Oryzias latipes: one gene and its partner. The protein of the gene in region 2 purifies or fractionates together with the protein of the main gene of each other region. This does not show direct contact. Links are inferred from orthologs where the notes say so. Each region holds a gene or a part of one and is shown on either strand. Other genes may lie near its edges.

The links. Proteins that work in one complex are often made in the same cells at the same time.
Region 1: the proteins of H/ACA ribonucleoprotein complex non-core subunit NAF1 (region 2) and nhp2 purify together in Homo sapiens (affinity purification with western blotting; 3 studies listed by BioGRID and IntAct, with this or other methods). This does not show direct contact. The link is inferred for Oryzias latipes from reciprocal best matches to the Homo sapiens genes NAF1 and NHP2.

Annotation. Positions count from the first base shown.
Region 1 is NC_019872.2:3,233,597-3,237,350, reverse strand, and holds the start of nhp2 (H/ACA ribonucleoprotein complex subunit 2), read left to right. Parts: upstream 1-1,015; 5' UTR 1,016-1,119; coding exon 1,120-1,273; intron 1,274-1,368; coding exon 1,369-1,438; intron 1,439-2,612; coding exon 2,613-2,718; intron 2,719-3,754. UniProt on the Homo sapiens protein: Required for ribosome biogenesis and telomere maintenance. Part of the H/ACA small nucleolar ribonucleoprotein (H/ACA snoRNP) complex, which catalyzes pseudouridylation of rRNA.
Region 2 is NC_019859.2:6,670,634-6,674,387, reverse strand, and holds the start of H/ACA ribonucleoprotein complex non-core subunit NAF1, read right to left. Parts: upstream 2,743-3,754; 5' UTR 2,611-2,742; intron 2,230-2,610; coding exon 1,619-2,229; intron 1,487-1,618; coding exon 1,354-1,486; intron 1-1,353. UniProt on the Homo sapiens protein: RNA-binding protein required for the maturation of box H/ACA snoRNPs complex and ribosome biogenesis.

The DNA of each region.
Region 1 (3,754 bases), on a different chromosome or scaffold from region 2:
TCATTATTTCTTTTGGCGTTTTCAATGTGTACTTTTGAGTTATTTTTTTTTTTACCTGATCCTAATTTCAATTCAATTCAATTTTATTTGTATAGCCCAAATTCACAACAACAGTCGTCTTGATGGGTTTCATATAATTTGACCCCATAGCGTGTGGCCCATCAATTTCAGTTTGTTTGACAATTGACTGTTAAATTTACAACTGGATAAATGGCGTGTGATATCATCCATAGAAAATGCCTTGCTTCTGGTTGCAACCAACTGAAGTCAATTCAGTCCCCATTTTTCTGCGATATGTCCTTCACCATGTGAGAAGCAGATGACCTCAGTAAGCCGTGATTGGCTTGTCTACATTTCTGTTGCAACCACTCTCTCCAATCAGGAGTGAGCCTGTTAGAAGGCCACACCCCTTTCCACTGAGAGCGGATAGGGAGGGTCTGTCAATCAAACGTTTCAAACTTCTGACGCTACTTTTATTAAGGCATCTGATTTGTCAGTTTATAACTTAGATAACTTTCACTACAGGAAAAATACCATGAGAAAAATCAGGATTAGCAATAAGATTTTAATAAAAGTTATCAGATCCAGAATGGTTATTCTGACCAATAGAATGACAGAGTAACAGCTGTTTATTTCTTAATAGAAGTCTATGGGGTTTTGCCTTCTTAGGACCAGCAGGTACTTCCTTTTTTGGTACACGGAGGGGGTGGGGGGGTGTTTTTCAGTCTAGTTCTTATTTTACTCTCAATGGTAACGACAAGCTTTTTTACACTGTAAGTTTGTCATCTACTCCTGATTCACAGCAATTTGAATAAAGAAATAACAGAAGAAACACACAAAAACACACATTTAATCTTAATTTTCTTTTTATATTTTCACTATCATGAGAAAAACACCACAAGAACTTAAACACAATTTCATTTTTGAAAGAAAGAAGCAAATTAAAGTCATTTGGAATGTAAACTTTGAAACGTCACGCTGCATTTCACCGCCCGGCCGCTAGCGGCGCTGTGATAAGCCGTAGTCTGAAAAAAGAAGCAGAGGAAGCTGAGCACGTGAGGTGTCCTCGTGTTAAGTTGTTGTTAGCAGACGTTCGGCTCAGAAAATCATCGATTGGAAATGACGAAGGTGAAGAAGGAGAAATTGGATGCGGAGGAGCCCGCCGGCGTCCCGGAGCGCTCCTATCACGAACTGATCGCGAACCTGAACCCGATCGCGCAGCCGCTGGCTTCCAGGAAGCTCAGCAAGAAGCTCTACAAGTGCGTGAAGAAAGGTACGAGTGCGGGACGTTTCCAGGTTGTGGATCAGTCCGGGTCCGACTGGGACCGGGTTGGACCAGGACAGTATTGAGCATTTTTGTGGTTTCAGCTGCCAGAGTGAAGAACATCCGCAGAGGAGTGAAGGAGGTGCAGAAGTTCATCAACAAGGGAGAGAAAGGGTGAGTTAGAACGAGCCGGAGCTGCTCAGGAGGAGGAGAAGCATGTTGGTGGATGAAGCTTCTCATAGGATCCTTTGTTTTTCTCTAGAATCCAGATAATTTCCGTTTGTCTCTGTGCTGCTCTTCATTTCTCATTTTATTGTCTGGAGCTACAGTTCTTTAGAACTTTAATGATGAGAAACTTTGCAAAACCTTTCAACCAAGTTCTTTTCTGTTTTAGTTGGGGTTTAGTCAAAGCGACTCAGTGATGTTGGCCAGTTCACAAATATGACTGCGCATGCGCGGGGTCAAAGGTCAAGGCCTCATTGGACGACAAACTTGGTGATGGTCTCTAACCCTAGCCATGATGAAACATATTCAAAGTTAAAATAACAGGACCATCTGCCCGGTCAGTTAACGAACTAAAGGCGCCCGACGATGCACCAGATGTGCTGCGACACAGGTGTGCTGCGACACAGGTGTGCTGCGACACAGGTGTGCTGCGACACAGGTGTGCTGCGACACAGGTGTGCTGCAGAGGCCTCATCCCCACAGCAGACGATGATAAAAAGGACGTATGCATGCGAAGCATTGGACATGATACAACTTGAGGACTGGATAACAGTTGTCTGGTTCAACATTAGGCCCACATGATGCAGTACTCAAACATTCCAGATCTATAATACTAGTAGAAGGCTTAAATATTCCATATGGACTATCTAAAGGCGTACGACATTCTTCTGTTTCTTTGACAGATCAGAATGCCACTTCTCTGCATTGACAGAAAACAATAACCCGATCCTCTTGTGATTGAAAAGGCTCTTGGGTTGGTGAGGAAGCAACTAAAACATGGCTGACAGAAATGTCAATATTGCTCACTCATGTCACTGAACGGTCTGTTCTTACTAGTATTTGCTGCTTTGGTTTTTTTGTTGCTATTTTTTCATTAGCTGACCCACCAACGGCAAACTGCATCTGCCGATGGACCTGTACTTTGTCTTTGGTTATGTATCGTAATGGCTGCGTTTTGGCTTAGCGGTCACCTTGTCTGCTGTCCATTGAGGTCTCGACCTTTGACCCCGCACATGCGCAGTCACCCGTGTGACTCAGTCTTTTGTGTTTAGTCTGAGGGGGCGTGACCAGAAGTGACTTCATTGCTTGCAAGCTGGTTTTCTGATTGGTCGTTGCTCTACAGGATCGTGGTTTTAGCTGGCGACACTCTGCCCATCGAGGTGTACTGCCACCTACCGGTCATGTGTGAGGACAGGAGCCTGCCGTACGCCTACATCCCCTCCAAAGTGGTGAGTCAGCAGCGCACCTATGCAGGTGTTCCTCTCTTTGAGGACTTCAAAAATAGCAGTAATGAAAGTGGATTTGCAGAGGCGATCCATGAAGGGATCTGCTGAAAGGTGAACCACCACCGACAGCAGTAAAGTTATAACTAAACCTCTGGTACGTTGTGTAAAAGTGAGGAAATATTTCAAATTTTATTTGCTTTCTTCAGAGAAACACATTTTTTCAAACGAGACCAGAACATTAAAGGTGGACATACATTCTGTGAAAGAAAGTTCTGGAAGTAAATACTGAGATGATCTCCACTCACAACCAAAAATCAAATAAATATAAATAGCTTCCAATATATTTATACACTAAACTAGAAATTCCTTACATCCAGTGAAGTATATTTGGGTTACAGTAGCAGCATTCTGGTATGGAGATGTCTTTGGTGGGTGGAGTTCTCAAAAACAAAGCGCTTGAATGTAAAAAGCACAATTTTACAGAATATGGCCTAAACTGTTTAAAATGGATATAAAGTGCCTCTATTGCAAGTTACAGGTACTTAACATTCTCAGCTGTTTCTAACTTTGCTGCTGCTGGGGTGTGTCAGAATTCCTTCACTACTCACTGCATAATGCGTCCACCTTTTTGTAGAGCTGTCTGAATCTACAATTACAAAATCCAGTGCCCTAGAAATTTACCAGAAGTCTCTGTGAAATACCAGTGTGCATCAAGGCTCACTATGTCGGTGAATATAGACCACAATGCATAGTATCAGAACAATTTTTGCCAAAAGAAAATGTATTTAAATGTATTTTTTTAATTAAACCATCAATGTTTTTATCTTCAGAACTCAGTGGACTCATAAATAATGGTGACAAAACGCTCATATGAATTAGATTTTAACTTTGTGAAATCAATTATGTCATATTCGCCATTTAAAATATTAAGCACTGAGCATTGTGTCTGAATTTTCTTTAAAATCCAGGGCACTAAATAGTTTTAGTAGTTAGGGGTTAGGGTGGGAGTTTGTCATCTTCCACTGACACAAGAGAAGGT
Region 2 (3,754 bases):
CGGCGATTTTCGCCGACGTTTAACGCCTCGTGACTAAACAAAGGGCACCAACGAGAGTGTGCACACCGACGCGAAAAAACGCCACGCGTTAAAGCGTCAAAAAAAAAAAAACGCCTCGGGTTCGTTTTTTTTTTTCGACGTGTCGCGTCGAAATCTACTCGACCAATGAGAATGGCGCTTTTGCTCACGTGTCTGGAGCTTCTGAAGTTACAGTAAAACAACTTGGGGGCGCTCAAACACAAAACTGCCTTGCTGAGCACACATACCAGCGAAGAAGATAGACGCCAAGTAGCGTCTACACACAGCCGCGAAGCAATAATGACGGACATTCTAAAATATCCCCGAACGAAGCACCAGTTGGAGCTACTGGTGCTTGAAATATTCATGTTTTCTTTGTTTGATTCTGACAAGCGTGTAAATACTTGCTCTCTTCTTCTGAGTGAAAAGCGACTTTAAGAAGCATAAAGTTGCGCAGCGCCACCTTGTGTACAGGAGTATTTCTGTTTTACATTAAGCGCCATCTAATGTCAGGGAATGAAATTGCATGTTCACTCCACTCATCGTCAGCGAAAATCGCCTGGGTGTGAACACAAAAAACGTGGCGAAAAACGCTGGCGAATAACGCCTGGCAAATATTCGTCCCGGTGTGTACGGGCCTTTAGAAGATTCTTCTTTAATTTGATATTTTCTTTTTTTCCTGTTCAGGTCCAACCATCTGCCTGTTGCTTTAGGTTGCCCTCAAGATCACTTACTTCCTTTTTAATGCCCTGCAAAATCCGAAAAAAACTGAATGACTAAATAATCTTGGTGAAGGCAAATAATTGGTTGGATAAAACATTAAAAGAAGCGATTTTCCCAATATCTTTTGCTTTTGATTTATTTTGAACCATTGTTTTTGTTTCTGCACTGCCAGCACAAATTTGTCAAGCCTCTTTGGCAATGTGACATCTAAAATATAGACTTGATTTCTAATGTAGAAAACAAAACGTAAAAAGCAAGAACAAAAGTAATGTCTTTAAATCCTAAAAAGCTAGAGTGCATGTTTTATGTTAGAATAATCGGTTATCAAAAATACAAGGTGTTTTTTTCTTTTCTTTTTAAAAGTTGGTTCAATTTAAATGGACGCTCTTTCCTTTCATATCTATAAGGACATTAATAAAGGAACAACGTGATCCACTCGCTTCTTTAAAAAAAAATTCTTTTTGAAAAACTTTTTTTTAAATGAACACTACATCATGCTAGATTATAAATAAATCTAAAAAAAGTGTGAATTTAGCTGCAAATTTAGGGTTATAGAAATGTAACACGCTTGTGCTTTTATTTGAGCTTTCAAAACAAAGTGTCAAGACTGACCTCAAAGCAGATTTCATCTTTACTTTTGACAGGGACCGGCTGGCTGAAGCCTTCATCATCATCATCCTCGAACAAGGGACGGGAGGGCGAAGAGGAGGATGAGGAAGAAGATGAAGAAGAGGATGAACTATCACTGGGGATGGGAAAAAGAGGATTTAGAATCATCTTTATCCCCTTAAAGCGCCTTCATTTCATGTTATATGATGTAAAAAGCAAAAACAAAAGATCTACCACTTCATTGATCTGTGTGTGTGTGTGTGAGTACCTGTCTGAATCTTCAGTCTCCTCTTCATCCTCGCTGTTTTCAACCATACATACGGTCATTGCAACCAAGGATACTGGCGTCTGCTCATCTCTTGTTTTTTCAGGACGGGTCTCTGAATATGGGGGTGTGGCCTTGTTAAGGGTCATAATGGGATTTGCCTCTGGTTTTGCCAAAGAAACCTCCATCTCCTCCTCCTCTTCTTCTTTTTCCACCACTGATAATTCCTGCTCAGTTTCTCTCAATGTTCCATCTTTCTCCTTTTGTTTTAACATAAGTCGTTCATTGTTCACGAGTAATCTCGGCTCTTCCTTCCCTTTTAGCTGCCCTGGTAACACTTGATCACTTTCCCCAATTTTTCTTTCATGCCCCCCTTCTTTCATCTCTACCTCCAGGTGGTTTTCTTGACTTAATCTTTTAGTCTCATCTTCTTCCATCTGTTCTGGTAACTCCAGCCTATTATCTGTCACGGTTGTGACATTTTCTTCCTCTTCTATTGGCACTAATAATTCCTGGTGAAAATCTCCTGTTACTTTTGCATTCTCATTTATCTGCACAGGCAACTCCTGATCTAATCCTTTATCCTCCTCTTCTTTTGGAAATGTTGCATCCATCTGCCGACCAACACAGTTAAATTTGTTAGTAAGTAATGTTAAAAAGCTTTCTTTGCTTAAAAATAAATAAATAAAAAAAATAAAAAGCGAAACTTTACCTGTAGCTGTACATGATCGTTTAAGCTAAGGCTAATAATACGACCATTATAAAACATTACCAAACCTATTTTATCAGAAACCTTCTTTATAAAATAAGAAGACTTTTACAGTCTATTTTTGTTTAACAACCAGATATCTAGCAGATTAGCAACAACCAGTGAATTAGAGGAGCTAAGAAAATAAACGTATAAACAAACAGATTAGCATATTAGCTTGCAAGCTAATATCATGCTGAACACAAATTTTGTTTACTAAAACACAAAAGAAATAATATAATGTTACCTTAAAACTTCTTAAACATTCCAGGAAGGCATAAATTATGCTTCAGTTAGGATAAATGTCGCCTACTTAAACTAGCAACTGAATCTACACTTCAACAATCTTCAAAGCGGAAGAATTCTGAAGCTTCTTCCTTTGCGTTACCTTCAAAATAAAAGTCCAGCGGAGGGACGTTTCAATGACGGAGATAGTTTGGACCTGATCTGAGCGCGGTACAAAGAAAGAACAGTGGTTAAAGACGTTTAAATGAGTTTCAAGGTTATAGTTGCTCGGAAGCATGCAACAGAAATACCTAAATGAACATTTGTGAATGTGATGCGTGAATAAATTGTGATAGTTTGGTGTGAGAGAAAATTAGAATTGAGTGATAGCAAGTGAATTGCAGTGAGAACCCTTGAAAAAGATCAGCCAGAAAAAGAGGTAGCTAGTAATATTATTAAAGTAATTAAAGCTACTTAAGCAATGAAAATTTAACGTACAACTACCCATATTTTGTGTATTCCGAGACAAAATTTTAAAAGTTGAAGACTTATATTTTGAAGATTGTTTCGTCTTTCCGGTTCACATTAGAACTTGATTCAGTAACAGACACGTGTTTGCTGTCGCTGCACGCGGGGCTCTGTTTTTCCGCATGTGCGCGAGAGGGTGCGCAATGGAATAAATCCGGGAAAAAGCTACATTTTAGAGGGATTAAAATTTAGAAATGATTTTCAATTCGTTCTGTTGGCTTGTCTGACCTGTGCTGCACCCTCTGAGATTACGCACAAAATCAATGTTCCATTCATATCGTGGTTTTGCAGATCTTTGTCACCAAACTACCGTTGTCCGTTAAACTTCTTTCTGCTGTTGTTTTGAGCAGCTAAACTGGCTTTTCTGTAGAGACCATAAAGTGAATACATCATTTTTGTTGTTACAGTTACAATAGGTACCAATATTGGTCTTTTTACTTTTACCCCCCCCCCCCCCCCCCCAAATAACTAGATTGAGTATGTAATTTTCCAATTTTTTTTAATAAAGAGAAAATTACAGCTTTTATTAAAGCCAGAAATAGTAAAAACACGTTCAACTATGAAAAAAAACATTGGTTTCTTGACAGGTTCATGAATGAATATCATTGCTAATTATTTGCTGCAGCACCATGACTAAT